2 linked regions of the Arabidopsis thaliana genome follow. The protein of the gene in region 2 interacts with the protein of the main gene of each other region in a biochemical or structural test. Each region holds a gene or a part of one and is shown on either strand. Other genes may lie near its edges. The genes, in order: SAMDC and WOX1.

Region 1 (17,015 bases), 5.7 Mb from region 2:
TTTGGGTGTAATCCATATATAGGAAACAAATTCACTTGGCATGTTCCATTGTTTTCTCGAAAGGTTATGATCGATTAGTTCTGGTTTCTTTTTCATGTTTTTAATTTTGTATAGTGACAGTTAATAATAATGAAATTGATTATCTTGACAAGAATGATTGATTTAACATGTTTGGCTATTTCTCACTGTATTTTAAATTGACTGAAAAAAGGATTTTCAGATCAGAAAATTAAAAGCTCTCATATGTGAAAATTTCAAAATAATATTTATTAATATTTTATAAAATTTGACGGTAAGGAAGACAGATTGTATTGCTTATTTTGATTTCACAAGAATGATTCACCTGCATTTAGAGAACTCATGATTACAGTGGCCCAAAGAGTGCATGCAAATGTAGGCATCACTTGTGACAGTGGTGTAACATGGAGATTTTGGTTCATTTAATGGCTGTTGCTATCTCTTCTCTGTTTTTTTTTTATTTTATCCAAAATGGTTAGTTTTGCAATTCACCCTTTTTGATAATGCGAAAATAGATTAGAAAAAAAGGTACAAGAAAATACAAAACCAAACTGTTCATCCCTGTTTCACGCGCTGAGAAATTAAAGAAAAAGTGTTTTGGTAAGAAACAGCGCTTTTAGTCCATACATTTTAGCGACACGCGCAACTGATGCGCGTTGGTTAAATAGCAGTTGGTTACACTTAGACTTTCAAGGACCCAATCCATAGCCCATAACCCCCTTGATGGACTAAAAGAATAGGCCCATAACTAAAGACTGTTCAGTGTTCACAATTACCTCCAGTGTTATAAGTTTTCCCCCAAATCCACAGCTTCAAAAGTTTCAATTGTGAACATATATAATACATTAATGTTTCATGTTTGTATGTGTAAGGATCTTGATTAGATTACTAGCTCCAAGATATTGGATGCTTCATTAGCAAGAAACCAATCAACCTTAATTCAAATGATTAGTAAACCAAGATTACGAAGTCGAAACTGGTTCTCGATGCGTTGCACCGGAACAGTTTTTAATTACGAACACTATCTTTTGAGTCATCCAAGACCAAGATACGGGTTAATGATTCTTAATTGTGTTTAAGTTCATTGTTAATTAAGCTATATCATATGGTAAATTTTTATCATGAATGGTTTCTAATAATGAAATAATACTACTGTATAGTCTGTATCAGTACTTAGGGGACAAGAGAACGAAGGTTGTCTAGGTTATGCCAAACAGTAACCCATACCCATGCGAATTTCACGTGCAGCATACTACTGTACATTGGTTCTTCTGATTGCTTTTTTTTGTATATATTTTTCTTCCTTTCAATTTTAGTTTGTTATCTTACCTCTAAATTTATAAATAACTAAATGGAAAGTGAGGGAACAAGAGTTCAAGAGTGGTGTCCTCTATGCTAATACGCATATCATATATCTATTTTTGGTAATATAAAAATGTACAAGTACGTAGTATGTGTTTGTGTAGTTGAACATATAACCAAAAAAATATTGACATGCATATAACAATGATAAGTTCAAAATGTTCTACTCTTGAAGCATGGCATAGGGAAAATCGGGATATAATATATTCGGGGAGACAAAAACAATTTCCAAGAATTGATGCGCTAATATAATACAGTAGTTAGGCAAAAATAATTTTTAAGAAGCAAGGGCCAGGTTCAAGTTACGGCTAATTTGGTGATGGAACACGAGAAAAGACATGTGGGATTATGTTTTGGCCATAATATTAACTTTTATGTAAGCTCATAATCGCAAATTTCAAGTAATTAAAAATATAATCTTGTTCCAGTTATGTTAGCTTCGATGAAGTCCTATATACATATCATATCATCTTTGGCATTTTGTGTTTACGGTGAGGAAATCAAATCCACTTGCGCATTTATGCACTTTTGGCGACTATGAGATTCATACGAAACTATATATTGATCTCTGATAACTTCGGTTTTCAATTTTATATGCATCCGCACTCTAAGAAGTTTACTTTTATAAGTTACTTAGTTTTTTGTATATACCAGAACGTTATATAACAAGTTAATTTATTTATATAAGTTTTGCCAGCTAATTTTAGCATAGATAAACTATCAAATGTTATAAAATGGTCATGTTTTTATTTGCGAGTAAAAATGACTCAATGTATCCACATTTTATGGGATATGTTCATTTCATTTGAAGCAAAATGGCTCTAGTTGTACTAATTTGGTCAATGTGTTCACCAACAAAGAAAATAAATATAGTATACTATCAATCCCAAAATATTAGTCTTTTCGAACGAAAAAGTTACTCAAATCTTAAGAGGCCGTAATTAAATTTGAAGAACTTTACAAGACTTGCTTTTAGTTCGATATATAATACCATTTTTATTAATTAAAATGATTACTTTTATCACTTATTAGGATAGTGGATAAAAGAATATGTTATGCAACCAAATGGCCGACAAATGTATCTTTGTTGGTGGATTTTCACATTGTTATATAGAGTTTGGTGACGTGACTAAACCACATACAAATGATAATAATTTCCTCGAACAATATAATCATTTATATGGTTGATTAGAGATAAATTTAAGGGTCCAATGTATACCTATTATTAATTGTTTATTAAGTTACTGTAGAATGCAGACAATAACTTCTCCCTATAAAAACTCACTCGAACAAGTATCTTCTCCATTAAATCACTTATCTTCCAAAGTTCTCTTATTCTTCACAATATCACACTCTCTTAATTAATAGTTAATATCATAGAAGATTCCTGCTCGGAAACAATCTAGACCAAGTTTTTTCGAGGGATTCGTCGTGGTGTAAAGTCTCACCAACTTTTTAGTATTTCCGATACAATCATTGTTATATCAACTGGTTTCTTAGGGACACAACTGGATATGGAAAGCATCATGAGCTTGAAGAGAAAGGAGAAGAAATCCCAAAGTAGAAGACTCGGGAAATATCTGAAAGAACAAAAGGGGAGGATCTACATCATTAGAAGATGTGTGATGATGCTCCTTTGTTCGCATGATTAATTTATTTATTACGATACACATATGTATATGTGTTTATTTTGTCCGATATGTAAATACATAATGTGTACTTTATAAGAAACAAAATACCAAATCTTTAGAGTACTAATGAATTCTGTAAACTCTTTGGATTAAAGGTCAATAGAGAAAAAACAAAGCTAAGAGACAACATAGACAACAAGATTGATAAATAGGCCTTTTGCTAAAAAGCCCACAAGACCAAATGATAAAATCTTAAGTTGGGGAAAGATTAGTAATGTAAACTGGCTTACGATGGAAAAGAGGCAGAGGCCTTTTTCTAAATAAGCCCATTTAAGCTACTAACAATCTTCAAAAGTCCCACATCGCCGCTATATGAAGAAAATTATAGCGATTAGAGTCGAGTAAGTGATTGTCCTTTTTGAATCACCACGTCCAGAAACAAAAGAAAACAACATATAATGAATTAAGCTTCAATTTGAGCAGGAGCAGGCAAAGGTTTCTCTAAAGAACATTTTTCAGGTTTCATGGTATTGAAAAGTTCTAGAACTTCTGCATTGCGACGGATATAACTTGGGGACATAGACAGTAAATCCTGAGCTTCACTATGCCTTGCAGACTTCAACATAGCTTCGAATACACGCAGAACCATTGAATTAGATGGAAACTTCTTTGAAGTCACAGCCTTCAGAAAAGCGAAAGCCTCTGCGCTTGTTCCACTATTCGATAAGTAATCCATGAACGGGTCCACGAAAGGAGGGAACCCGTGATTTCTCATCATAGGTAGAAGACTCAAAGCTTCTTCAAACCCACCATCTCTTGCTACCTTCTTCATCAACAGATTCCTCACCATAATTTTGTATGTACTGTGCCAAGGTTTCAACTGATTTTGTTTCACTAGCTCACTGAAAAGCTTGTATACATCTCTTGCCTGAAAACTGTTGCAATAAGCAAGTACCAACTTCTCAAATGCATAACCTGCATAAGAGACTCCCTCTTTCCCAATCATCTTCTTGAAACACTCTGAAGCTTCTTCGAGATCTTTAGCATCACAGTGCCCTTCAACTAAAGATGCCATTGCTTTATCATCTAAATGGTTTCCAGAAGCTTCCATAAAGTTCACAAGTTCGTTTGCTTCATCTTTCTTGCCCTTACGACTAAGTCCTGATGCAATCACACTCTGCAAATCACCGCTAGGAACATATCCACCTTCGTTCATCGCTTTCAACACCTCGTTGCTCTGTCCAAACCTATCAACGCTTCTCAAAGACTTGAGGACATGTTGCAGCATAACATCCGGCACAACGTTGCCATTCCCAGTATAAGCTTTCAAAGTTCTTGTAAATAAGTCCATGTCCAATTTCTTTGCAGTGACAATTTTCTTGAGCAGTAAACTGCAGCAGTGTGGGGTGGGTGTGTTGCTAATGCTACCTGCCATTGCAAACTCAAACAACTCAACAGCTTCTTTAATCATTTTAGTCTGACAGAACCTTGCTGAAACCCTAACATAAGTCTCCATTTCCATCTCGTAACCAGCACTCCTAATTTCTTCTATCATGTGCTGAAACCTATCAAGAAACTTCTCTTTCCCTAAAACCCTGGCCATAGCATTATACGTCTTCTCATCATGTTTAAAACTTCCAGACTCATCAATCCACCTAAAGAACAACAAAGCTTTCCTCGGATCCACGTCAAGTTTTTCCAAAACCATCTTTACCACATCACTTTTAAACTCGAGCTTCAAATCCCTTAGCTGTTTCTCTACATCAGCACCCCACACTTCCTTCATCACAATCTTACACACCCTATTGCAAACCTTGTCAACAGAGTTATCCATAGAACCTGAAGCAAATAGCTCTTTCAGCCTCTCCAAATCATTTTCTAGTCCATCTTTCTTAAACTTGTCACCGACTCTGTCCCTAACATTAGCTGAAACACCATGCCCTTTCTTCTTCATATCATCAACCAACCTCCAAAACTCATCAACTAATCCATTAACACCAAAAATACGCAGCATCGTGTTATAACTCTTGGAAGAAAGTTTTTGAGGATAAGCCTCCAAACCCCATTTGAAAAACCTCCCCGCAACATCAGGGCTTGATTCAAGTTCCCTCAGAACTCTCAATGCTAATTCATGGCTAATCACAACATCATTCGAATCCAGCTCTTTCGTAATCTCATCCTTACCATTCAATCTGCTAAAAACATCAATCACAACAGTCTCAGCAGGAAGTTTCTCTTCTATCGCAGACTCAGATGAAAAGCGTCGGCTAACAGAGCTCGCCAATGGCGATCGCAAGGCAAAAAGACACTGTCTTTGTTGCACTCCAAAACGTTCGTGGAGGAAAGAAGAGAAAGATCGAGTCGAATTGGAGATTACCTGGAACCGCGAGTGATGAGAAAGAAATGGACGAGGAGACGAACGGTAGCTCCGGAAAAGAAGCGATCGCCATTGATACCTCATCCTTAATGTCTATCTAAGCTACAACAACACTAGAGTTTGGCTTGATTTTGAACAAAAAGTTTGGATTTTTACGAATGGGAACGATGGAGCAGCAATGGCGCAAGAGAGAGAGGAAATGTTTAGGGCTTTAGACTAAACCTCTGACCAAGACGGAAGGTCGAGTATTTTTAAGCTGTCATCCTCCAACTTTTTGTAATTTTCATTTTAGCCACAACATTTTTTTATTTAGATAATTTTATCCTCCACAGCGATTAGGAAAATATGACCATGTCTTTTTGTGCTCAATCAATAATTCCTTATACTCTTGAAATGTTTTAGTAAGAGAATTGATCCAATCATGTTTTCTCACTAAATTTCCAATGATATATAAAAAACTGAAGGTTCCAAAGTTATTTGAGGAACAAAACTTCATCTAACGTTCCAAATTATCTTCATTTTGGATAAAATTTCCAAACTAACACTATAAGATATATACATTGTTTGATACTTACTTTCATTGATCTAATATTCTTTGAAGTTGTTAGTTGTTACTTTATACTTGAACACTGAAACCCACTCCCTTTTTTCTTCCACATTCATGATATTAAAAAGCATACTTTTATTAACTAGATAGATAAGATTACATAAAGATCCAAATGGACGCAAGGAAACAACATCAGAAAGTAGCAGGAATGAGAATTAAAACCCCAAATTTATTAAACACAAGTCGAAGAGGGGAATTAATTAGAAAAGAAGTCCAAGGTGCTTGCTTAGTGGCTTTTGTTCATGCCGGTCTTGTCCTTGACGACATCAGCAGCTCCTTGCGCCTTCTCCTTCATTTGTTGTCCAGTCTACAATTCACAATTTGATTTAAAAGTTCAATATTATGGTTTTACTACAAGGGAGCAAAATGAAATGAAAGAATCAAAACTGAACCTGTTGCAAGGAGTCTTGAGCTGAAGCAGCAGCATCCTTGGCCTTGTCCATCATTCCACCGGCCTTCTCCTATATTCACATAAGTTTAACATTATACATTATTAGATCAACCTTGTCTAAAAAGAACACCCTATCGTAATCCGTAAGTATTTGCGGGAAAACTATATGAATTTAGAAATGTAGAGATCTTTTACATATATTTCAACAAATTGATACGAAATGTGTAACAAAAGAAAGAGAGAGAGAGAGACCTTAGTCTGGCCAGTGGCTTGACCGGCTTGGTAGCTCGCGTTTTGCTTGTTGTCCATTTTCTCTCGTTCTGGTTTTGCTTACACTTTGAATTTTATGTTTTTGATTGATTGTTTTGTGTTTGATGATGGAAAATGATTGGAGCATTGGGTTGCTATTTATAACCCAGAGACGTGCTTGGGAGTCTCCACGTGTCGAGGACACGTGCATCGGTTCGAGAAACTTGCTGCAGTCGGTGGCTAGTTTTGGGATCCACGTGTTGGATAACCGTTTGACCAGGACATAAAAGACACATACGTGGTTCTCTCGATTTCTGATCCGCAAACGACACGGTATTATTTCACTTAGACTCCTCTGTTGCGCGATAATAGGATTTTGAGTGAAAGAAAATGTTTCCTTCTTCTTGTACTGTCGTTTTAAGCAATTTTTTCTTAATTTAACTAAACGTAATTATGGCAGAATAAGGTTCTAAGTGAAAACAAGAAATTGTGGTTTTGAAGTTTTTTTTGCCTACTATTATTCATATGAGTCATCATCCTTTTGTTAAATTATACTACCACTTTCTTTTTAGTTCTTAAAATTTTAAATAGTCAGCTCTAAAACTAATTTACTCATGCAAGTTGTTCTCTTCTTTTGATCAAAAGTCCACTTCTCCCTTTTTTTTTGGTTTAATACTCAAATTCTCCCTTTTTGTTTTATTTTCGTCTTTTTTTTTCTTTTTTTTTTAATATAGTACTATTTACGTAACCATAATTTGTCATCGGAAATAAAAAGATTAAGACAACTGAATTTTGTAATGTTTTGAAGATAATATTGCACATTTTGCTACATTAGTGTCAATCTCGTTTATTTTTCAACGAATCGTTAAAAAAAACAAATATAATAGTAAAAATCGATAATAGTAATCATCATAGCAGCAACATTTAAGAATAATAACATAACAAGTCTTTAGGTATATAAAACCCATATTCATAAAGTAGAAAACACCAATACAACTTGCTTGTGAAGGAGACGAACTCAAACTTCACAAGTCATTATTCATAAGAACTTAATAAGTTTTTTAAAAAGAAAGAACAAAAACAGAAAGCTCGAAAATAGTTATTAGGAAGAAAAATTCTGCTAGATTCCCTCGTCCTTCTCGTCCTCGCTGCTGCAGCTATTGTTGCTGCTCCATTCACACTTCAAGGTAGATCTAGGCGATCCACAGTACTTACCAAGCTTCTCAAACGTCTGATACATCACTGTTCCACTCTCTTCTCCTAGAGACTCAAATGTCCTCTCTCTGCACCCATAGTCTTCCAAGTCTACAGTAATCTCTGGCTTGTATGAGTTCGCTCCAACGCTCGAGTGCACAGCTACAGAGAATTGCTTGGGCTCGAAGCAAGAGAGAACCCTTGTCACCAGCTGGCTAAGGTCAAGGGTGTTGAAGTCGTAACCCACAGCTTCGAAGCTAGCGTAGCTAAACCCATCTTCAGGGGTCACATGGATCGTGGAGATTGCATCCCCTTCAATTGAGTTCATAGAGTAGCCGCAGGGCTCGAATTCAAAGTCGCAGATCTCAGACTTGGGAAGGATCTTTCTGATTCCAGAGTTATCAGTCATTGACCCAGTCTTGTCAGCTTCATCCTTGTAGAAGACAGCAGCTTTCTCTCTGTCCAGACCAGTCATGCACATCTCGAGAGTGTAGACATTGTTGTTGCAGTTGCTGGAGTCCTGGGCAGAGGCAGCATAGACATGCCATTTCTTAGTCTCATCATCATTGCCCATCAAGTAGGCTACGCTGTTCAAGCCCAGCTGAGTAAAGTGCCCATCAAGAACAGAGACTTCTTCAGAGAAGCTGCGGTGAGGAAAAGGCTGGCCTCCGGGGCAGAGGAAGGAGCCGCGAGTGTACTTCACAGACTTGACACTCAGAGAGAGCTCACCAGCCAGCTTTAGAAGTGGTGGGATAGAGAGGAGGAGCTTAGTGGTACCGCAAGTCTTGATGATGACTTTGTAGGGGTAGACAAAGAAGCTGGACTCAGAGAGTACGTAAGAGTCCAATTGATCGTTGGAGAGAGATGAAACGATCGTGCATGCAGCAGGTGTAAGAATTTCATCAAGCTGGGACTTGGTCAGAGCACGGAGTCCCAGTCCCTTGGAGTCTTGAAAGATGCTTGGCTCAAAGAAAGTCACCTCGAGCCGTTTCTCGTAACCTTCGAAACCGATTGCAGATAAGGCCATCTCGCCTTGTTGTGTGAGCGACAGGACTTGTAGTAGGAGGAGAGAACGATTGGATCCGGGAACCAGCAGAAAAGGAGCTTTGAAAGAAGAAAATTATAAACTGGAAAGTAAAGAAAGCTATAACTATATTATGAAGATCGGTGCACGCTGGTACTCAGGATGGCCTCTTGGAGCACTGCAACAAAAAGCAAAACATAGTTAAGAAGAGACTACATAATGGATACCATAGAGATTGAAGAAATCAGATATAGCATTATAGAGGAAACTCACGTTTGAGTAGACAGAAGATTTGAATTTCTTGATTCCACCGTTTGGACGAACGTCTTCAATGCTGTAACCGAGGGGAGCTTCGTAAAATAAGGAACTACTACTGCTGGACTTCTTTTTACCACCTTTCGACTCCATCATAATCTCATTCACGCTTTTCTGTATTAGACAAAACAAATCCAAAGGAAAAAGATCAGATGAAAAATAAAAATACCAGGTATTCAAAAGATCACACAACAATGTTTATCAGGACAATACGAATCTATAAACCATAAGAACCATTCAATTTTCAATTGTATATCTCGAATGATGAGTAGAAACCAATTATTATAGCAGATCCATAACTAAAAACAAAGCCTAAGACAATAGGCAATCATACATGTAACAAAACAAAAATCGAAACCAAGTCGTTGGTTTCAGGTATAAGTCAACCTAACCATGCATGCGAATATCAATCTCTTATACCAAAACCTAGGACGATAAGAACGATGTCTATCTAACCTAGCTAGGCTAATGAATCAATCGAAGAACGACGTCAATCGTGAGAGATACTTACATATATAAATGAAGATCGATAGATCAAGATCGCGAATTATGAACTCCTTGTTTCCAGAAACCCCTTTCTCCAGATATCAAACGAAACCCTCAAACCTGAAAAAAACCCAGAATTCACCGATTAAAAAACATTATCCTCAACGACGGAACAGATCTACAGAGAGAAAACGCAGATCTACAATTCAAAAAAGAGACTCACCAGATAGAGATGATTCAGAAAACCGCAAGACTTTCGAGAAAAGAGAAAACCCTAAATTTGAGAGAAACGATTAAGTTGATGATTTGGTAATGATGAAGCAATGAGATGCGTTCGTGAGGAGGAAAAGAAAGGTAGAAAGAGTGCCTTTATATAAGTACTAGGGTTATGCTCCCTGACAATTACGTATTTGACCTTATACCTTAGCGTTTATATCGCGTGAAGCTATCTGAGCCGTTGATTATTTCCAATTTGCCGTTCCGAGGTTTTTACCCAAATTACCCTTCAACCATTTACTTACGTTGGAATCGGTAGGTGCGAGCATCTCCATTCCTGACCGCAGATAAATAGCCCCAACTATTTTAACAAATTTGCTTTTTCCTTTCGCCGCAAGTAGAAATTATTTTAATTTTAGAGATTTGTTTCTTTATTATTTTTTGACATTATCTTTTGCGGAACAACAAAATATAAAACAGAGATGGGCCAACACGCTATATTAACCAATCAAAGATTGACACGTGTTTAGAAGATACGTGTGCCGTTGAAGCGGATAACTCGAGGCGAGCTGTCACGGTAGCGTAGCCGTGGGGCCTAAAAGAATCAAATTCTATTTCTCAAAGGCTCTCAACTGCTCCACTACATGACAAAATTGGGCCTCCCCGTGACTCACTCATGACTCATGTCCACCATTTGTCAAAAATCAACAAATAAAATGTATCAAAATTATAACCAATCACTATTGACCAGTGTGTAATTATTTATTCCAAATCTTTTTTGTTCAACCATAAGTCGTATTTAAAATTCTGAGATTTTGGACTAGTTTGGTACCATGAACCTTAAAGAATAAAAATACCTTTAAACAATATGATTTACTTTTCACATTAGTGATATCTCTCTAGGAACACTGGTCTCTCTCTCTATCTATACATCAGCTGGAGCATGCCTTCTTCTTTTCCACGAAATTGCTAAAAACAATCAGAGAGCTTCTGATAAGAAATTCCCACCCAACTTGACAATATGATGAAAAAAGAATATATTCCAACAAGAAAAGATAAGATGAGAAAACGAATTCGAATCCAACTTCTGGTTCAGGTTATTGCCAACCGGATTTCCTACGGTTGAACCGGTTTGGCATTAGTCTTCTGATACTCCAGTGTCAGTTCTTCCAAACGCTTTGATACCTGCCATGAACAAACAAAAAAACACAGTTGTTGATTATTCAAGAAAGCTGAGAGCGTTTTTCAAGTATACCATCAGATTTAACAACATCAATGCCCTCAATTAATCACTACAAGTAAGATTAAATTATCTATCAAGTTAATCATGTCGATATCGAGAATCTGATTCTTTCATATCTCTCCCGAGTTATCATGGAAATTTTACCAGAACATTAACTTTTCGAAAACGAAAGAGAACCTTGATAGAGTAAGCCAATGGAAGCAAGGTATCCGGATTCATTGCGTCTTCCGGGAAAGTTTTCAGAGCATGTATTAGTTTCTCAAACGGTAACTTTACCTGCAGAGTTAATTTTTTTAAAAAGGTTGGTTTTGCGAAATTAACTTACAGCTCGTAAATAAACCTCACTCACCAACTCATCTTGGCAATACTTGAGCAATGCTAAGCCCACTTTGAACACGATTTTAACACCCTTAAGAAACAATGACCATAGAAGATAACAGAATGAAACTTTGATCACAACAAACGTTAAAGAGATTTTAAGGATGCGCATTTAGTTACCTCGGAGAGAAACACATCCCATATCCGTAGAGCCAAAGGGAAAGGAAATGAGTATGAGAAGACGGTGATGAACCATTGACTTGCATACATACTCGGATTAATCATTTCTTGAGTAAAATGTTCTCCGAGCTTCGGAATTAGCTCTTTTACCAAGCTTTCTAACTGAAACAGGTATTGCTGTACAAGGGGAAGCCCTGCCTACATTACACACAAACCACTGACTCTTAAGAAATAGATGAAATGTGCGGCAAAGACATTACCTTGTTAAATCAAGGAACGAACTATACAGTAGCCTTTTAAATTGGATAGTTGATTCATAATCAATGACGAAAAACTCTCACCAGAATCGTTATAAACTTAATCTACAGAGAACTTTTTTAAAACGTGGTCACAAACTCTAACTCACGCAGAAAATACTCTTTTTGTTTCATTCAACTATACAACATTTTCTTGCAATCTTCTAATAATTAAAAGACTCACATGATACAGTCCTTCCATTGGAGCATGAACAGCTCCTTTAAGTAATGCAACTAATAACCAGAAGGCATCTTCTTCGCTCATATAGAGAAGCAACAAACCGGCTATAAACCCCATCCCCTGCAGATATTAGAATCATGAATCTTAGTCCCATACTAAAAGAAAGAAAAATGGGAAACAAGGGAAATATCTAGAGGATAGACCTGAACATATCCGACATCTCTGTCATAAACTGAGTATGCCTTAAGGACATTGTACAAGGATCTTTGCCCAGGTCCATGTCTCTTCTGAAAGAAAACATGTGATGGGAAAGTACGGGATATGTCTCGAATGATATCAAGCTCTGATGCAGATGTTTCATAAATCACCAATTGCTTCATAGGAAAATCGATAGATGATCAGAATATGACTCAGAGAAGAAACAATGTAAGGATATAAACGGCGAAGATTACCTCATAAACACCAGGATTCATAAGCAAAAGGTCTCGACTTCCTGAGATTAACTGCCAAACAAGACCTCGTAAGCAATCAGGGATCCCTTTTCGTATACGCCTTCTGACAACATTAGGTTTTCTCCTAACATAATGCTTCCAATCACTCCCTCCAACCCCAATCATCTTCCTCCATTTTCTCACCTTTCTCTCCTCTCTATAGATAGCCAACAACAAAAACACACTCTCACTCTCTCAATCATATTCTTTTAAAATTATTCGCTCCCTCAGGACATACCTGTCATGATCAGTGGATGATGTAGTTTTAGACTTGCTAAAACGCTCAGGCGAATTGGCATGTTCTTGCTTGAGAAACCCGAATCTATCCACAGGAACATGAGAAGTGGCTGGTCCTGATTCACTGCCATTTTCCGTTCTTTTTCTACTCATTCTACTAACCTGAAGAGACTCCTCCTAGCATTGGTTTCAGTCTCCTTGTGATCAAGCTCCCTAATGACACAATCATAGACCAATATATCCCAATAGTGAAATTTATACCATCAAAGTATAAACAGGTTCTCAAAGTAAAATCCTAAATCTAGTAACGTCGATCGTCCAAAAACTGTAACCAGTAATCATAATCAGCAGAAACGTGATCGTAAAAAATCCAGGAGAAATTAAAACTCACCTAGGTTTAGTCAGATCAAAAGATTCGTAACCAAATTCCTCGATGGGAATTGTTGGAATTCGATGGAACCGAAGAAGATAACCAAAACGAAAGAAATACAACGTTGGATGGAGATCACATCTGGGAACTCATACGCGTATATTACTATGGTGGTGGTGACTCAATCTTTGAATTTTTCATCCGCTTGAAGAAAGTGATGTTTTTCTTTTTTCCTTGCCGGAGAAAATATGAGTCCAGCCAGAAAAATAATAATTCAAGTGAAGCCAGCACGAAACGACGCCGTCGAGAGAGTATTATTATGATTAAATGGTGGTTATGCCAACTTGCTAAGTTTGGTGACAACTAAAAGATTCTATTTTCTAAATTGAGCACGATTTTGGGTAATTAGAGGCTTTATCACGACGATTATGAATTTATGATTCATAAAGTTTTAGGAACAAAACAATTTAATTGGGTATATATATATATATAGGCGTCAAATTAATTATACCAATTCAAAAAAATCAGTAACCTATTTTTTAAAATAAGCCCAAAATGAAAGATAGCCCAATAGCTAAAAGGCCCATGAGGCCATGACTCGATTTATAATGCCCAATGCTTATTCATACAGTTTTTCCTGTTCTGTGTTTTGTTTTTTATCTGTCAACCAAAAAAGAGCTTTTGCGAACTCTTCTTATCCTTTCAATTTAACAGAGTCATCAGCTTGAAGACGAAAGCCTTTCTAATTCCAATCTTCTTCACTTGTATGACACGTTCGTCTACTCTTGCGCTTGGTCGGTTTTCTTAGGATTTTTGCACAAGAATGATCAACGCATGATTCGGATTCCAGGATAGAGAATCCATGGCTACTTTCAATGTTCTTTGTAGCAATCGATTTAGATTCAATGGAGGTTATTCTCCGGAGAAATTTAATAGAAAGGTGTCTTCGAGGAGTAGTGAGCTTAATGTTTGTGTCTCTAGAATCAGGACTCAATCGTTTAGTTGCAGGAGACTTGGTGGGTTTATGGAAATTGGTGAAACCAGATTAGGGGTTATTAGAGTTCATGGCGATTCTCGTAATAGATTTTCTTGTAATAGCGAGATTAAGCGACTTGTGACTGGTGATTACGGAGATAAGGAGACTCGTATTGGTGAAAATGGTAGAAACAAAGGGAAGAGAAGAAGGTTTTCTCTTAGGCTTCGACCTAGATTACGATTAGTGAGAATGAGACTTGGCAGATTTGATTTCAGAGCATCAATGGAAGATTTTCGATATTTTTTGAAAAAGAATCTCAAAAGAGTGATCTTGTCCACCGGTGTGGCTTTAATCTTTGGACTGTGTTATTTGTTCTTGAGGTTAACTGCTGTTCCGTCCCCATCCATTGTTCCTTACTCAGATTTCGTTACGAATCTTCGAGGTGGTTCTGTTTCAAAGGTTTTGCTCGAAGAAGGCTCACGTCGAATCTATTACAACACTGATGAGAATGTTGAGGTTGTTGATGATGTTCACAAGTCTGAAACTTTAGAAGATCCGGCAATCCAAATTGATGGCGGCACAGTGACAGAAGCTGTTACGAAAGACGATACTCCGCGAAAGGTTCGAGCTTTGCCTCCTGTGTGGAAGTATGTGACAAGAAAAGTCGATCATGATGAGAAGTTTCTTCTTAGTTTAATGAGAGAGAAAGGCATTACTTATAGTTCAGCTCCTCAATCCGCATTGATGTCAATGAGAACTACTTTGATAACAATCATCTCTCTGTGGATTCCTTTGACACCTCTTATGTGGCTTCTTTATCGGCAACTCTCAGCATCTAACAGCCCTGCGAAGAAACGACGGTCTAAAAATCCCACTGTTGGCTTCGATGATGTTGAGGGTGTTGATTCTGCTAAAGACGAGCTCGTGGAGGTAAAAAGATACGTAAATGCAACGTTTATAGAATTAAGTTTGAAGTCCAACCTCCATGTGTTCTGTTTTTCTTTGTAGATAGTCTCATGTCTTCAAGGAAGTATAAACTACAAAAAACTAGGAGCAAGATTACCGAGAGGTGTGCTTTTGGTCGGTCCACCAGGGACCGGTAAAACCTTGTTGGCTCGGGCTGTAGCTGGAGAAGCGGGAGTTCCATTTTTCTCTGTCTCCGCTAGTGAGTTTGTTGAATTGTTTGTTGGAAGAGGCGCAGCGCGAATCAGAGATCTTTTCAATGCAGCAAGGAAAAACTCACCTTCCATTATATTCATTGATGAGCTTGATGCGGTTGGAGGAAAACGCGGTAGGAGTTTCAACGATGAACGTGACCAGACGTTAAACCAGGTAAAGAATCAACATTTAGTACCCTTTTAACCATGTAGACTCCATTGCTGATATACTTCCTTTGTAGTTGCTTACTGAGATGGATGGATTCGAGTCAGACACGAAAGTCATTGTAATTGCAGCAACTAACCGACCAGAAGCGTTAGACTCGGCTCTTTGTCGGCCTGGAAGGTTCTCTAGAAAAGTTTTGGTTGCAGAACCAGACCAAGAAGGCCGTCGGAAAATCTTGGCCATACATCTGAGAGACGTTCCTTTAGAAGAAGATGCATTTCTCATATGTGATCTGGTTGCTTCTTTAACTCCCGGATTTGTAGGTGCTGATCTCGCCAATATTGTCAATGAAGCTGCATTGCTTGCTGCTCGTAGAGGTCAGTCTTTAAGTGATCTTTTAACAGCCCTTTCTTGATTTAAGTAGTTATTCGATCTGGTTGCTTCCCAGGTTTGATCTTTTGGGATGAAGCTGCGGTTTTTGGCTTAACAGACACTAGCGATTTCTTGATTGTTTTCAGGCGGAGAAGCGGTGGCACGGGAAGATATAATGGAAGCTATAGAGAGAGCGAAGTTCGGGATCAATGATAAGGAAGCGAGGCCAAGGACGTTAGGAAATGAACTCAGCAAGATGTTCCCATGGATGCCATCTTTGGCTAGAAGAAACGGACCAGATCAAGACGGTTTACAAGGACCGTTAGGTTATCAAACTCTCAGCTAAACCAAACCAAGACAGACCGGTTAGAGAGCAAATCCATTGATACCAAGTTTCTTTGTATCTGAAATTTTTGGAAATGTACGTTTTTTTGTGTGTTTACATTGCAAAGTCAATTGCTTTTTGGTTCGTAGTACCTTCCAATTTGACAAATCTCTTAGATATATTATTAACCTAAATTGCTCTTTTAAAACGATCTTCTTATACTTAAAGAGAAGTAATCCTAAGCCATTCGACATATTTGGTATCTAATTAAAGGCATACACTTTGAAATATAATATCTAAAATCTCGAATAAATGCTAAACAAAATTTCTAAAATATATGATCTACAGTATAATCCTAACTACAAACTACTACACAATATCCTTATCTGCCTTAAAATCGTGTATATCAATCAGAAAGATATGATAGTTAACCTATCTAATATTTTATAACATTCTACTTCACTATATATATATATATATATATATATATCAAACGACTCATTCGTTTTTTTTTTTTAGCAATGTCCCAATCAATTGGTAACCTTGTTTGATGCTAATCCAATAATCGAAATTCTTCCAAACATCTCTCTCATCCATTGAACATAAAACAGAAATCCCAAAACTATTCTTTTTCTGTTTTTAAATGATACTTTCTCGGAAGAAGGAGATGGAACTTCCTGCGACAAAGTTACGAATAGGACTAGTGATATTTCCTCTTATTCTACTTACGATAGCTCCAATCCTTTATCTCTTTTTTGGTTATCCTCTCTATTATTCAACATCAACATACAAACATTTATCGAATTCATCATCGTCGTCGGCAATATCTTCTC
Region 2 (17,015 bases):
TTGATTCAGCGGTTTACCAAATTCTCTCTCTATCTAAAATGAGACCCCTGTTTTGGGCTTCTAGGCCCCAAAGCCTGCCCTTATCTGTTAATACTGCATATTTCTTGACTTATATTGCGGATTTTTTTTCACACCTATCAATATACTGCATAAATGAGAAATGTTTCATTGTAGGAGAGACCTGGAGTAGTCAAAAAATAATTCAATTTTCTTTATAAAAAAAAAAACATTCCATAGGGTACCGAATAGGGCATAGGACTGTGCAACATAGTGTGTGGATGGAGGTAAAGAAAGAAAAGCCTTGAAATCACACACCTTCAAAAGACTAGATTCGTCAGACTCCTCCTATTTAGGTTTTGACCCAACCCTACGTACCCTCTCCTAACACACCACCTACTGTTCTATTTCTGTATTCAACAGTGTCAATTCCAATCTCTCTCAGTCAATTTATTTGCAATATCTATCCACCCTTTTTCTTACCATTTGAAATCTCCCAACGCTTAACAAAAAAAACGACATATTGTTACATTTTCGTAGATTTTAGAAAGAAACCACAAATCTATAGACCATAATAGCTACGTCCCTCAGTAGCTAGCTAATTAAAATAATATATATATACACAGAGAGAATTTGATGCAGTCTTACATTGTCAGAATACTGTAAATATAGTAGTACGTAGTGTTAATGTGTATGTGTTGTATATTATTTTGTCGACATGTATATATATACGTACACATGTGACATATATATTGTAATGTTTGATTATGATGACCTCATGATAAGAGAGATCACTGACAATTATACAATATAGAAAGCTTGAAAATAGGCTTTAATCATATATTTGATTACTTGGTTCTTTCGCAAAGAGAGAGAGAGAGAGAGAGAGAGATGGTAGAAGAGAATGAATCACATGAAAGCATTTAAAACCAAAATAAGGAAATTGCAGAGAGAAGCGGGTGAGTCACAGCCAACCAATGGTCCACCTCATGACTGTCACCATTTTGTCCCTCACAGACACACCCCTCCTCCAGTCTTGTCACATTCTCTTCTCTCTCTCTTCGTTGTTTAATTTGTCTGTTCCACCGCTGGGGTTATTAACAGTGTTCAAATTATCAATTTATTAGCACTATTCCACGATCTTTCCTTTTTTTAATGTAAATTTTAGTTACATTTTTTATACTAATGATATATTATGTGCTACATGACTAAATCTAAATATAATAGTATAAAAATTGGGTCTATTTTAGTTAACAATATATATACCATGTACTTATATTTAACTCATAAGTTTGAATGAGATTTATTGATGGATTTTTCTGTGAGTTTCTTGTATTAGACTTTAGCTATACAGCTAGAGGTTTCTGTAGCTAGGGACAAATACGAATTACCCACGGAGAAAACCATCATGTGCATGATTACTGCCACGCACGTATCTATATACTCTTATATATAAAGCCCTTAATCAAAACATCAAACACGAATATAAAACTATAAATGGTTTTGTTTTTTAACAAGACAAACAAAAGAACTTTACATGGATGGATCATGAAAATGGACAAAATACATCATATATATATATATATATATATATAATATGATCATGTGAATTAATCATCTTGAAATTACCGATCATATTCATGCAGGATTATTCAAATCATCCTCTACTATATGTTTTATTGTGATTAAGATTCCACGTTTGCCAAACATGATACATATATCAGTATATCACAATTTCACTAATCGTCACGTGATATATGAATTCTTATTTGTAGTGACTAAATCTTATAGTACATATAGTATTATTACATAGTAGTATCACACGTCACTGATGATATACTACGATGAATCAAAGGCCGGAGCAGACATAAAAAAAATCATGATCCAGGGAAATAAATAACCAAAAGATTATTACCGTACGATTAGACTTTACAATTAATCTTCGTTACAATTCACGAGAAGATTCATGTTTCTTTATTTCCTAACAACAATATCTATTGTTTATAGTTCATAGGATCGTTCGTGTGGTAATCTGTTGACTGTACGCTTACCCATTAATATTTTCTCTTCTTGCTTTTTACTTTTTTCGTATAAAATTTATTAAAGTGATGTTTTTGCTTACTTCCATGCTCGCAAGAATCACAAACACACAATCATCATGAAAAAGAAATAAAGCAAATACAAAGAGAGGAATAGATAGGGAATGATAATGTATCAAAATAAGCAGTACAAACAAATAAAATTACCCACGATCTTTCTCCTAAAACTATTAATAAAGAAAAGGGTCTCACTGAATCGTACAAAGAGACATAAAAGAATGAATGAATCTTTGGGAAAAGAAAGGAAAGTGTCGGGGCTTCTTCTATGAATAAGCTATTCAGTTATTTTTCTTTTCTTTTGTCTTGTCTCTTCTCTACTCTAAAAGTCACTCTTCTTTCCTTTTCTCACCTTCCCACCCTCATATATATCTTGTCATTTTCCCCATTTGAAATTTATGGTGGCTAGGCTTTCTTCCTCATTCGTTAATCATACATCTTGTGATCTAATTCCTTTCATGCTTTCATCAAAAACCAAGCTTATCGAAGCTTTCAATTTAGTTTAAAATTTGTCAAAATGTTAAAATTCGTACGTAAGACATAGATGAATGAAAATTTAGCTAGTGTTTTATGGGAAATTTTTGTTTAAATAAATATTAATTGAATAATATGTTTTAAACTCTCATTCTTAAAAAATATAAAATTATCTCTTACTATAGGTAGAAGTAGAACCATGACCCGAATAGTCATTCAATTTTGAGGAATATACTGTATATATAATAGCAAATGTAAAGGCATATTGTTCGTATGCTAGTGAAGAGAAAAACAAAACAAGTGCCAAACCAATAATATTTTCCCACTCTCTTAGTCATTTCAACATCAACCCAATTCTTTTTGTCTCTCGCGCATTTATAACTCATAGAAACAGATCCCCACATACATACACACACACACATATATATATATATAGATCATGCATGTGTGTGTAGATATTCTTTAGAAATAACGCATGAAATTAAAGGAAAGATGTAGAGTAATAACGAGTTCCCATTCTCGTAACAGATTATCCCATCACCAAAGCACCAAATAGCTTCATTCACCAACCAAATCAAGCAAGTTTCATGATCTAAACCCTAAGTCACCACATCCACACAAATGAAAAAACTATTGGGAAAATCACATGTCTTTCTATTCTTTTCCTTTTTAAATTTGTTTGGTTCATTTTTAACAATTAAAGAAAGTGGTCCAAAGTGCATTTTAAGGCAAACCCTTATGAAATGTTAACATCAACACCATAAAGACACGCCTGCCCTTACTCCTAGACAAAACCCTAATTATCCTTTTTCACTCTCCCTAACTCGGTTGAATAATTAAACTAATCATCTAATAACAAAAAGCTGTTTTTCTTGAAAGACTTCAATTAGGTTTAGTTCTTCAATGGCAGAAACTCATAGAAACAGTGAATGCCACTAATGTTCTTGTCTTTCTCACCATCGCTACAAAACCCTTCTTTTCTCAGTGGAAACAGCTCAAGTGTCTGTTCTTGATGATCCAATTCACCGTTGGAGCAATCTTCATGTTGTTCTTGATCTTTATTATCATCACCATTTCGATGACAAGTCTCTGTGTTCGTTGCTTCTCTCGTACGTAGAAATACAGGTGAAACCGTGACCGTATCTTTAGAAGCAGAGACAGCATTGTTGCTGTTGGACATGTTGGAGGAAACAGTAGGTGAATTGAGAATGAGGTTACGTTGATGATGATGATGTGAAGAAGAGTAGAAACTAGGTGGCAACTGCATCATCTGCCACGTGGTGTTTATCCCTAAAAAGCTTCGTCTCTCGTCTCCTCCACAACGAGCATTGTGCTCCACCCGTATATTCGCTGGCTCCTCCAGATGATAATCACGGGAAGGTTTCTAATTATGCAAAAGAAAGAACATTCAAGATGTGTTGAAATTAGTCAAATTAGCATCGGAAAATGTAAAAATTGGTAACAAATAAGTCAAAATTTGGCAAAGCGACAAACTTTATGCTTAAAACAAAATTCCAGATAGGGACAGGGGTGAAGAAGAATGAGACCGTTAAAGACCAGGGTCAAAAGGGTCTTTTCAAGCATGTGTTTGGAGTGAAAAAGCACATTAATTTATGGAAATTCAGCAAAAACAAGAAGACACAGAGCTAAAGGATCGATCGTACGTAGCAGCTGTGCCGACAGAAAGGAAAGTCTCTGCAGCTTTTTGGATGAATTCAATAATCTTTTTAAAAAGATACTACTAATATTCAAACAAAATAAAACCATAATTATATGCTAAGAATATACGTATTTTTGCATATGCTACAAAAATACTTATTTTGAAGTTCCCCATAAATTAACTTCTTGGTCTTTTCCACCGCCTCATCTCTCTGCCTTTTGTTTTTTTCTTTCAATAACTTACCCAAACTTCCAAAAAGGAATTCACTTATTCTTAGCTAGCAGATTCTATTTGTAATCATATGCTAATTATATATGTAAACCCTCAATCCTTAATTACACTCCCTTTCATGTAATAGAAACCCCAAGACCATTATAAACACAGAATATGAGCAACATATATACATAATACATATCATAAAATAATATCAATTTAGAAACAAATATATGTATAAATAGAGATATATACCTCTGGTTGCGTGTCGCATCCGACCGAACATATCCAGTTCTTGACCTGTTCAACCTTGTAACCTGCAAAATTCCAGACATGAATTTTCAAACCGTCAATTTTGAAATGAAATCAACCCAAAAAGACATTCTAATCCAAAAAGACTTTTATTGTTTGAATGTTAATCCCCAAGTTCTGTTATGGTCCCTTACCTGGAGGATCTTTCTTGTCGAATCCGTGGTTTGAGACAAGACTTGCTGTTGAAAGGACCGTTTCTTCGTGGCCAGTTTCCATTTGTCGCCGTCGTTTCTGGCGTTCTCGGGCTTTGTGGTTTTGGAACCAATAGAAAACGTTTTTGCCTTCTATCTTCCCGTACCGTCGTAGCTGTGCGGTGATTTGTTGGATGTGGTCGGCAGAAGGAGTTCTAGTTCCTTGTCGGTAAAGCTCTTCAAGAACCCTTAACTGATCTGGTGTCGGATTCCACCGTGAGCTCACCATTACCGGTGGATGTTGAGGTTCTGAGTTTAGCATCATCAGCTCCCTCTTGTTCTGCTCCGCCGTCATCGTCACCACTGCTGTGAAAATCGTAACCAAAGCAAGAAAATGAGCATTAGAAACAAGGGAAAGAGAGACTGGAAAGTTTCACCAAAAATTGACGAGAGAGAGAGAAAGAGATACCCATATTAAAGCGGTGGTCGGAGTTGGTGTTTACGGCGGCGGTGGGGCAAGAAGTGAGACGTGGGATGAGAGGACGAAGCTTTCTTCCTCCGTTGAAGGAATCTGCGCCTCCTTCGTTGTAACCCATCGTCCACATTTTGGTGTGTACTTAATTTATATGTATGTTTATAGAGGAGAAGGGAGAGAGACAGCGATATAGCAAGTAAAAATATTAGGGCTTTGTTTGTTTTATCGAAACTGAGGAGATGTGAATGATATGGTTGAAGGAGTAATAGACAAATGGTAGAAAGTAGTTTTGGCTATTTTGGCTTATGGGTTTGGAGAAGAGTGATAAAGTTGAGAGATATCTTTGTATGTGAATGTGAGAATGGGAGCATGCAAATGGGGTGGTTTTGTAAGCACATATGTGTGTGTGTGTATATGTAGACAATTTAACACATCCTTTTATTTATTTCTAAATACAGAATATTAACATTCTACATATGAATAGAAAAGTTTATTTTATTTTATTTCCTTTTATTCCATTCACTTTAAAAATTCTCAACCGTCCTGCAAAATCATAAATATGTTTGTATAGAAAAGAAACATAACATTATATAATCCTTGATTAGTAAACGACCTATATATATAGTACTTTCCCATGATGAAATTTTATCATATCATACATTTGTAGGAAGCTATGGAATGTTTGTTTGCACAATACGATTAATGTAACATGTAGATTCATTTAACTAAAAAAAACATGTAGATTCATAGACATTAAGCTTAGATTGCATGATAAAAGCTTTCATGTACAATGTGTACCACTAGAATGCTAATCAAAACGTGATTACTCTGCGGATGATGTAAGTACTTTTAACCACTATACATAGAAACTGACATATAAATAGATTTTTAAAAAATTAACTTTCGTCCCAACCAAATATATGTCACAAAATTTTATACCCTAGCTAAAGCACGGTGATAAAACTATACACCTACCCTGAACACGTAATAAAGTACAGTGATGATAATTGACAAATCACTTTAAATTTGTTAAGCGAATTCAATAAATGCAGTGATCAGCTATATATGGAATTTCACTAAGCTACATAATTTTGGAATGATAAATAAAAGAATTGAAGCTAGGAAGATGAGGTTGACTAGTAAAAGAGGAGAGAGAGGATCGGAGGGGCGTGGAATTCTGGGGGGATATGATATGAATGATATGGGGAGATGCGAAGGAGCTTATAACGACGTGACATTCCTCCCATCTCTCCCCATCACTCCTTTTCTTTCATTCTTTTTTTCTTTTGGTTTCTTTCATTCATTTTTTATATATCCTATAGTATTAGATTAATATGTCTTTTTACGACGAATATGAGATCCCTAAATAAATATGTGTATGTATGTGTGTGTTGTGGCTTTCACTATTATTCTTGTTCTCAACTGCCCCATAGGCTTTGTCTCCTTTACACTCTTAACCTCTTCTCCTTTTGTCTCTCTCAAACAATTGCTTTTCCATAGATAAAACCCTTTTCCTTCTTTCTTCTCTTTGGGATCTTAAATCCCCCTTTTCTGTCTTTTCCCAAGCCCTAATCTAATCCTTTTGTTTTTTCTCCCTTTTTTGGAAAAAATTGTAAATATATTAATCCCTGAGTTTGAAAAAGATGTACCAAAAAATGATCTAATTTGCTTTTTATTTGTTCTCATGTTTATGTGATCAAACTATATATTTCCCTCATTTGTTTGAGATGTAGCGATGGATTCAAGGTGTAGGTATTATATAATGACATACATGAACAAAGTGATTATCTCAATTTTTATTTTGTGATATATCTTTCAAACTTAATAAATATGATTTTTTTTAGAAAAATCGATGAAATCTTATGTTTTTTCTTTCTTTCTGAAAAATGATAAAATCTCATAGTTTTTGAAATATGATTGGCTTACAACTGAATTGTGTATCACTTAATCAATCTTTCTATTTTTTGTTTTAAAGAAATTACGATAATCATTCATAATTTCATATGATCAAAATTATGGCTTTCTTCAAACGTCAAGTACTTTTTCTGAGTTGCAAGCTTGTTATCATACGTGATTTCGCACGCACTCTGAATCATTACGTTTCTTTTTAACAGAGATATTTTCAAGCATGATTTTTTTTCTTTTCACACTTTTATATTCTATTTATTAGGTAAATTCATAAGAATAAATGAAAGATTTTGGTGGAAAAATAATCACATTGAGTGAACTTAACTAATATACAAAATAAATATAAAAAATTGATTAAAAAGAACTCTGGGCTTATATAAATCAGACTTTGGCCCAATGAAATCGGATTAGGCCCAAACAAGCTATAAATGTCTTGTCGTATAAAAACCGGTTTTGAAAGAGAGAAACAGAGATTGCTACGAAAGTTATGTTCTTCGTCACTCGTCTGCGACTACGAGCCAGAGAAAATGGCTTCTTCTTCTCTAAATCCCTCTCTTTCTCATCTGCCTCCGTATTGAAATCTGATGATGTCGAAGGAGAAGATGATGCAATAGAAGCAGAAGATCGTCGACGCAGTGTAACCGATAGAGCTTACTGGAGAAGACGGATACACAGTATCTGCGCCGTACGGAGGAATCCTGACGAAGCTCTTCGGATTCTAGACGGACTCTGCCTCCGTGGGTATCGTCCTGATTCGCTTAACCTCAGCAGTGTGATCCACTCTCTTTGTGACGCCGGACGATTTGACGAAGCTCACCGTCGGTTTTTACTCTTCCTCGCTTCAGGTTTTATCCCAGACGAGCGAACCTGCAACGTTATCATCGCAAGATTGTTATATTCGAGATCTCCGGTGAGTACGTTGGGAGTTATACACCGTTTGATCGGTTTCAAGAAGGAGTTTGTGCCATCGTTGACGAATTACAACCGTTTGATGAATCAGTTGTGTACGATCTATAGAGTAATCGATGCGCATAAGCTAGTATTCGATATGAGAAACAGAGGGCATCTCCCAGATGTTGTGACTTTCACAACTTTAATCGGTGGTTACTGTGAGATTCGAGAACTGGAAGTTGCTCATAAAGTGTTCGACGAAATGCGTGTGTGTGGCATAAGGCCTAATTCTCTCACATTGAGTGTTCTTATTGGTGGGTTTTTGAAAATGAGAGATGTTGAAACAGGACGGAAGCTGATGAAGGAACTATGGGAATACATGAAGAATGAGACTGATACATCAATGAAAGCAGCAGCTTTTGCGAATCTCGTTGATTCTATGTGCAGGGAAGGGTATTTCAATGATATTTTTGAGATTGCAGAGAACATGTCACTATGCGAGTCTGTGAACGTTGAATTTGCTTACGGGCATATGATAGATTCCTTGTGTCGATACAGGAGAAACCATGGAGCAGCGAGGATTGTTTATATAATGAAGAGTAAAGGGTTAAAACCGAGAAGAACGTCATACAATGCTATAATTCATGGCTTGTGCAAGGATGGTGGGTGTATGAGGGCTTATCAGTTGCTAGAAGAGGGATCTGAATTTGAGTTTTTTCCGTCTGAGTATACTTATAAGCTCCTAATGGAGAGTCTATGCAAGGAACTGGACACGGGTAAAGCCAGGAATGTTCTAGAGCTGATGTTGAGAAAAGAAGGAGCAGATAGAACTCGAATCTATAATATTTATCTACGCGGTCTCTGCGTGATGGATAACCCGACTGAGATCCTGAACGTACTGGTCAGTATGCTTCAGGGAGACTGCAGGCCTGATGAGTATACACTTAACACAGTTATTAATGGATTATGCAAGATGGGCAGGGTGGACGATGCCATGAAAGTTCTTGATGATATGATGACAGGGAAGTTCTGTGCACCAGATGCTGTGACTTTAAATACTGTTATGTGTGGCTTGCTCGCTCAAGGAAGAGCAGAAGAAGCTCTGGATGTGTTGAATCGCGTTATGCCGGAGAACAAGATTAAGCCAGGTGTTGTTGCATACAATGCTGTTATACGTGGGTTGTTCAAGCTCCACAAGGGAGATGAAGCTATGTCTGTGTTTGGTCAGCTGGAAAAGGCGAGTGTGACTGCGGATAGCACTACATATGCAATAATCATTGACGGGTTGTGTGTGACTAATAAGGTGGATATGGCGAAGAAGTTCTGGGATGATGTGATATGGCCATCAGGCAGACATGATGCGTTTGTGTATGCAGCATTTCTGAAAGGGCTTTGTCAGTCTGGTTATCTAAGTGATGCTTGCCATTTCCTATATGACCTGGCAGATTCTGGAGCAATCCCTAATGTTGTGTGCTATAATACTGTGATTGCTGAGTGTAGCAGAAGTGGGTTAAAGAGAGAAGCGTACCAGATTTTGGAGGAGATGAGGAAGAACGGTCAGGCTCCTGATGCTGTTACATGGCGGATACTCGATAAACTACATGATTCTATGGATCTAACTGTGGAAAGAGAGTTAATTTCAAACCCTGCAACCTCAGGATAGACTGTTTCAAAAGCAATAAAATTCATGTTTTGGGGCTCAAGGATCTTGCATTTTGATATCACGATCACTGGTAAACGTAAAAAAGTGGGCTTGTTTGTTTCTCTGTGAAATTTTTGCTGGCAAATTCAAAAGTTCAGTGAGCTATTAGCAGAATTGAAGACAACATTTAAGAGCGAGGAAAAGAAACATAGACATTTCTACAGAAACAGAGTGGAGCTAGTAGTGCAAATGGTCCTCCAGATACATCAATCCAGACAGCTATTTTGAGATGTACAAGAAAAGCAAACAGACTGATAAAATCTACTATTATCTAAGATAGTGAAAACAGATGATTTTCCACAAAATGCATGTTGTGGAAATCATGGTTTTAACTAGTTCCACCGGTTTGCTGATGAGCCTGAGACTCCCAGAAGAGTCTGACAGTGGAATAGATAAGAGAGGGCTCAGCCATAGCTCCATTACCGTAGTCTCCACAGGCAAGTCTCTTCTTGATAGGAGGAATAAGTGTGATTCCCAGTTCATCAAGAGACAAAAGATGCCTTTCAGTGAAAGGATTGTTCCACATCAAAGTATTCATAGCTGGAGCAACAAACAGTGGTTTGGTATAGTCCCAAGCTCGTATAATGCAAGTCAGAAGATTATCACAAAGCCCACCAGCAATCTACAAAGGTACAACAAAAATATATTGTATGAATTGAATCCTCCATGAATGTTTTCACAAGTCACACAATTGAATCTAAGTAGTTGGTTTAGGGTTTTCGTCGATTTGTTAAATTACCTTGCCTAAGGTGTTAGCAGACAAAGGAGCAATGACTAAAACATCAGCCCAACGTCTAAGCTCGATGTGAAGGACAGGATCACCGATCTTGTTCCAGCTAGACCATTCATCTTCATCAGTATACAGAGTCACTTCTTGTGGGAGAGAGAGTTTATCGAGGAAATGTAGAGATGATTTCGTAACGACGGCTCTGACTTCTGCCCATTCGGTGAAGCAATGGCAGAGATTGCCGAATTTGATAGCAGCGACGCTTCCACTTGCAGCGAGTAGTACACGAGGCTTCCTCGGTGTGGTATTCACTTCCATGTCTTGTCTGTCTCTTTTCCCATTCTCCATAGCTCTTTTACACCTTCAGAGATCTAGCAAAGTAGCCAATGGTTCGGCGAAGAACCCTAACCGAAAAATTGATCTGGTCGAAGAGAATATCAAAATGTTTTAGAGGGAAGAGAAAGAGAGAGGCCCGAGAGGACAATCATTTTAGTTGCTGGTCAAATGGGCCATTGACTCACTCTTTTTTAGGCCTCGGTCGTATGGGCTGTGAATATCGATATATTTCATTTTATATTTACTTCGTTTGGACTGCAATTTCGATTCTGAGTTCGACTGTTGTGTTAACTCTAACATGTTTTCGAGTCAAAGTTATATAGCTTTTTGAGCCAACGTGAGATGGAAATGAAGATATTATTAGTAAGAAATTAAGTAAGAGTCGACCTGCTAAAACCGTTGGGTGGAAAATAGACACGAAAACATCTCCACAATGTGCAAAGCGGAAGCAGAGAGCAGAAGACAGATTGAAAAAAACAAAGGCACAGACGCAATAAGAGATTATTAAAGATGGAAGACTAGAAACATCGCTAATTTACAGCCACGTCTTATGGTTTGGTTAAAGACACACCGACAACAACACCATTAACGAGTCTACTATTTCTTCTTCTGCAGACAACAAAACCTAGAAAAATTAAAATTCCTTATAGATTTTTATATAATTTAAGATGCGATTCCAACACCTAAAACAACTAAAAAAAAACACTCCTAACGCCAAACACCAAGGCTATTATGTCTAGGTTGTTTTCTAGATCATTATTATTCTTCAGAACAGAGCTTCTTGCATTGCCTCTGCTTCTGTCTGGGTCTGTGTTTCTCCTTCTCTTTCTTGTCCTTCTTCTTGTCCTCCTTGTGTCTCAGCAGCTTCAGTTTGTTGAGCTTCAGTCTGTGGTGCTGCAGTCTCCTCTGGCTGCACTTCTTCCATAACTTGTGGCTCAACGGTCTCCGTCACTGTTAGTGCTTCCAGATCTTTTATGGCTTGCACCACTGCTTGATTCTCACTTGTAACTCCATCCTTCAACACCTTCACAATTTCTTTCACTTTCTCTTGCTGAAATCATTTACATACAAAAACCAAACATAAGCAAGTAGAATCGAATACTTTAATCAAATAAAGGACAGCCAAACTGTTTATTGTCAACAAGTAGACTTACAAAAATATCAAACTTCTTCTTGAGTTCTCCAGAATCTTGTGTCCCAGTCGTGACTGATGTTCCAATCTAGGTTCATGAACCAAAAAATAAAATTGTTGGATAAAAGTATAACATATTCAAGAAAGACATTAATGGTTAAATTAAGAAGTCTTACTTTAGATCCAATTGAACACGTTACTAGTAAAATAGAAGATACAGAGAAGAAGACACTATGTGATGACTTAGAAACCATTAAGCCGGATTAACACACTAATTGATGATAAAATTATTCCTAGCTATAGCGATACATTACCGACTATTTTGGTCTTAATTATCCAAACGAAAATTAAAATAAAACAGAGAAACCAGATAAGGATAAGCCAAAAGTAAGGGACACGAAAATATAATAAAAACACTAGATACTAGTCAGATTTTGGATACGCGAAAACAGACAACAATGCTCAAAAGCGGAAAGTGACATTGAGTTTGAATTCCACAATGATTGCAACACAAGTATCAAACTTTATCAATCTAAATTGACGGCGGAGCAGTGAACAATCATGCACAGTAAACGTCAGATATTGCAAAATCGAGATCACGAATACAGAATTGGGGGATGTGAAAATTTACCTTTCTGGGTCTACCTACAGGACGTCCTCGTCCTCTCTTAGGCTTCATAATAAGCCTACTGATAACACCACCAATCTTAGGTGGTCGTCCACGTCCACGCTTCATCCCTGGCGCAACCGCTGCCACATTTTCACCACCTACTGGAGCAACACTAACAATACTGCTAGGGTCAACAACTCTCCTAGGCCTTCCTCTGCGTCTAGCACCATTAGCAACATAAGGATACACAGAGGCAGTAGAAGAAACGGATTTGGGCTTCCTCTGTCTCCCAGCAGCTCGACGACCCGGTGGTCTACCTCTACGTTTCATAATTCCAGCCATAACCGAAGCTTGAACGATTGGTGCAGTAGCAGGAGCAGCAGAACCGTTCTTCCTTGGACGACCAGGTCCTCTCTTCGCCGACTCTGTAACCGGAGTCGGAACCGGAACAGGTGATTGAACTTGCTGCTGTTCCCAGATTGGCTGTCCGTTAGCCTGGACTTGATTGGTCGGTGGAAGTTGCTGTAGTGGTTGTGGTTGAGATTCAGGTTTAGGCTTAGGAGGACGACCACGACCTCGTTTCAGAGGCTGAGAAGCAGAGCCAGAAGCCATGGGATCGTTGTTACTTGAATGGAGAATCTCAGATCTGGGAACATCGAGACCTTGAGCGGCGGCAGCAGCAGCAACAGCTACACTAGCAGGAGGAGTAGAAGAACCAGCAATTTTGTAAGATTTCTTAACCATAGAAAGAACACCACTGGTCTTCAAAGTCTTGAGATGGTGAGTCAACAAAGCAGCATGAGCAGAAGTTAAACCGGTGTAACATCTCTCGATGTATCTCGAAATTGCCATCTTGCTCGAACCATCCGGTTCGTTTAACGCCGCAATCGCAGCGCAAATCATCTACACACAGAAAAAAAAAATTAGTAACAAAAAAAAAAGTAACTGAATTTAGTTATAAAGGAAGAGGCTTTTAAGATTGAACTTACTTCGGAGTAAGGAGGGTGGGGCATTGAAACATGTGGAGATAACTGAAACATCTGCGGTTGCGGGATTTGCGTTTGCGTTTGCGGCTGCGGTTGGAAGACGACATGGTTATTGTACGGATTTGGTCCTAAAGGATGATGATTGGAGGTGGGAAAATGAGGAAAAGGGGTGAACTGAGGAGGATGATGAGGATCACCAAGAGATGGATCCATGGATGTGAGATTTTTGCAGAGCAAAGAGAAGAGAAGATACAGTAAAAAAAAAAAAAAGAACAAAAAAAAAAAAGACAGAGGTGGAAGGTGAGATTTAGATTTAGGGTTTTTTTTTCTTTTTTTTTGTTTTTTGCTCTGAGAGCTCTTTTGATTTTTTTGTTTTTGTGAAAATAAAATTTTTGTGAGAGAAATAAATAAAGTTAGGTTGGGGAGAGAGAGGCGGAGGAGTAGAGACGAAAGGATGAGAAGAAAGATTACTATTAAATCTAACCGTTGATTTGTTTTCTATCGACGGTTTTGACGAGGATCGATGACGTGTCATATCATTTTGTCTTTTATTTTAAGGATTTTGTGTTTCTTTACTTTGATTTTTTTCATTTTTGCCTCTTAGAATTTTGCTACATTTTCGCTCCAATGTAATAAAAAATCACCAAAATTTTAAAAATGGACCGCCAAAATTTTAAATTATTTTTCTGAAAAGAACTCCTCGCTTTCAGTGTAAAACAATTTTGTTGATTTTAGAATAACATCGAATGAAGTATATAGCAAACACTGTTACATTAAGTAACCCATGTAACAAACTCCATTAAAGAGTGTATGATAAGTAAGAGATGTATTGAGATGAGTATGGCAAAACAAATGCAATTACTAACTTCTATGTCCTCTGTTTAGGATTTGAAATCGATACATTTACATAAAATTTAGTTTCAAATTTATATTTTCTGTGAATTTTGTTAGAGTATATATCTATTTGCGACCCTTTAACTTAATCACAAAATGATACATCAAATATGTTTTTCATTAAGGAAAAATTACAAGACATTAAAATATTTTTAAACAGTAATGTATGATATTTACATTTGAATTAAATTTTAACTTTAGTTGCATTTTAACAAAATATTTGATATATATATATATATATATCTATATATATATATATAAATGTACGACGTAAAACAAAAATAACAAATAAATGTAAACCTCTTATTATAGATGATGAAAGATAACTTTATGAAAAAAATAAAATATGGAAAAATATATTTACCAAGTGCTAAATACATTTTTCTTTTGTCTTGTATCACAAATAAGCGTGATATATTTAAAAGAATAATTGAAATATTAAATGATGAAAGATAAGTTTTAAAATTTTCAAAATATGGAAAAACATGCAATTAGTAAGTATTGATTGCAAATTTTAATTTGTTTTGTACAAAGAAGCGTTATTTATTTAAACATTATAATAAAAATGATAAATAGTGAACGATGAATTTAAGAAAATTTAAAATATGAAAAACTAGAATTTATAATTGTTTAATGCAAAATTTATAACAAACAAGCATTTTTAACGGGTAATGTAAAGGATACAAAGTGAGCGATAATTTTAAAGATATTTAGTGGTTTTACATATAGTTAATGTTTTTTTTTTTTTTTTAGAAGAACTTTTTTTTTCATTTGACATTTTAATATTGTTTAATGAACTTTTGTGTATTATATGTGTGGATTCAAAAGGGTAGTTGGATAGATTTCACCATTTGAATTTTGAAGTAGCAAATCTCAAATAAAATCAATGGGACTAAGAACAATTGATAAATCTATGGGGGAACAAGTGTCACACCTATCTCCTTGGTAAAGCCAGCCCATACATCACGGTACCCAAAAAGAATCATCCAACAAGAGAATTGTTGGTACATATTACTGACATTACAATACGATATTATAAAGAGTACAGTACGTTTATGCTTATGCATTAAGCGCAAGTAAAACCCGATATATGCTCATCATTCAAACTCCAAGTATCACCTGAGTCGTGTCGTTTTCATACAACAATTTATGTATGCTCATTCTTTTAATACTAATATATCTGTGTTGTGATGTGTGCATGCGTGTGCTCGAATACTTTCAAGCAAGGGTCAAACAAAGTGCGGCTGGTAATAGACGATCAGAAGACACAATCACCAGACACCAAGTAAGCAGATGACAAAAGACGATCACCACACCAGAATTCCAACAAAACAAAAGATTATGATATGTTTTGTCGCCTCTGATATGTCACACTACACAGTACACACAACCTCTTATAAACAACACTTTTAACGGGCCGAATTATCAGCCTTCAATATAATGTTTACTTATGTGATGGACCTCAACATTACATGGGCCTATCTGTTGCATAATTAACAGTTTTAAGACCCTTTTATTTTTCTCTCGAATTTGAAATGATTTGTTTATGTTTTTTATTTAAATGTTTTTGCATATTTGGTTGGGTCCTCTCGAGTCACACACGACCGGAGACGTGCATTAGAAGAGTTACAGAGCAGACATTTGCTGGCATCTTACAATTATCTCAAACATAACCTTCTTTTATTATTAGGCTATTGGCCCTACCCACCACCACCATTTTTATTTTCTTTTTCTCAAACACGCTTTTTGAATTTCAATATTATATACTGTCCTTATCAAAAAATAGTTATACGATTTGTTAATTTTGTTAGCCTAATTTTTCCTAATCTGGTTATGTCACGGACGCAAGTTAAATTCATCTGCGGTGTTTTTAGGTGTTATAAAGCCATGTGAATGAAGTTAATTAAAAAAAAAGCAATGTAAATAGTCAAACATGCCCTTTAAGAAAAAGAGAAACACACGCTTCACGTGAGTCGCACGTGCCAAACCCACCTTTCATCTTCTTCTTCTTCTTCTTCTTCTATCTTCCGCATCCTTCGGACAAGAGAACCAAACCAGCCAACAAAAAATAATAGTAATGGAGAGTCGAATTAGAAAGAGAGAAGCACGCCATACCTGAGAGATTCGTGCGTCGACGACGTGAAAATCATTATTATTTACTAATAATAATTGTTATTGTCAATCGATGATAATTAAATTAAAATTAGTTTAAAAGTGGTGGTGGAGGTGTTTGATGGGTGCTAGTCACAGCACCAACGTTAATAATCATCCTCATTCTCGGAATGCTTCTAATCATCCTCTGACCAACAGTAACAGCACCAGCTCTCGTCACTCTGCTTCATCAAGTGATCGCTTATCTGTTAGTAATTTACGGTCTCAGCTCACAACTATTTACAGAAATCAGGAAGAAGAGGAAGAAGAAGAAGAAGAAGAAGAAGAGGAAGAAGAAGGAGGAAAAGAGAAAAGAGCAG

The links.
Region 1: the proteins of WOX1 (region 2) and SAMDC form a complex in vitro, tested with the Arabidopsis thaliana proteins (one study listed by BioGRID).

What each region holds. Positions count from the first base shown.
Region 1 is NC_003074.8:502,064-519,078, reverse strand, and holds SAMDC (S-adenosylmethionine decarboxylase), read right to left. Parts: upstream 10,194-17,015; 5' UTR 10,077-10,193; intron 9,984-10,076; exon of another isoform or gene 9,929-9,983; 5' UTR 9,878-9,928; exon of another isoform or gene 9,775-9,877; 5' UTR 9,680-9,774; intron 9,283-9,679; 5' UTR 9,127-9,282; intron 9,032-9,126; 5' UTR 8,857-9,031; coding exon 7,756-8,856; 3' UTR 7,617-7,755; downstream 1-7,616. Other genes in the region: RTFL19 (ROTUNDIFOLIA like 19), read left to right, coding at 2,895-3,032; AT3G02490 (Pentatricopeptide repeat (PPR) superfamily protein), read right to left, coding at 3,475-5,472; AT3G02480 (Late embryogenesis abundant protein (LEA) family protein), read right to left, coding at 6,222-6,302, 6,388-6,456, 6,639-6,695; AT3G02460 (Ypt/Rab-GAP domain of gyp1p superfamily protein), read right to left, coding at 10,987-11,055, 11,291-11,389, 11,463-11,522, 11,612-11,809, 12,092-12,208, 12,292-12,462, 12,541-12,736, 12,818-12,969; AT3G02450 (cell division protein ftsH), read left to right, coding at 14,049-15,092, 15,171-15,494, 15,562-15,862, 16,004-16,203; TBL20 (TRICHOME BIREFRINGENCE-LIKE 20), read left to right, coding at 16,826-17,015. UniProt on the Arabidopsis thaliana protein: Essential for biosynthesis of the polyamines spermidine and spermine. Essential for polyamine homeostasis, and normal plant embryogenesis, growth and development.
Region 2 is NC_003074.8:6,157,696-6,174,710, forward strand, and holds WOX1 (WUSCHEL related homeobox 1), read right to left. Parts: upstream 5,759-17,015; 5' UTR 5,489-5,758; coding exon 5,353-5,488; intron 5,250-5,352; coding exon 4,887-5,249; intron 4,758-4,886; coding exon 4,696-4,757; intron 3,952-4,695; coding exon 3,460-3,951; 3' UTR 3,038-3,459; downstream 1-3,037. Other genes in the region: AT3G18020 (Pentatricopeptide repeat (PPR) superfamily protein), read left to right, coding at 7,754-9,820; HAL3A (HAL3-like protein A), read right to left, coding at 10,188-10,481, 10,599-10,934; HON4 (winged-helix DNA-binding transcription factor family protein), read right to left, coding at 11,689-11,973, 12,077-12,142, 12,686-13,567, 13,654-13,863; MPK9 (MAP kinase 9), read left to right, coding at 16,778-17,015. UniProt on the Arabidopsis thaliana protein: Transcription factor which may be involved in developmental processes.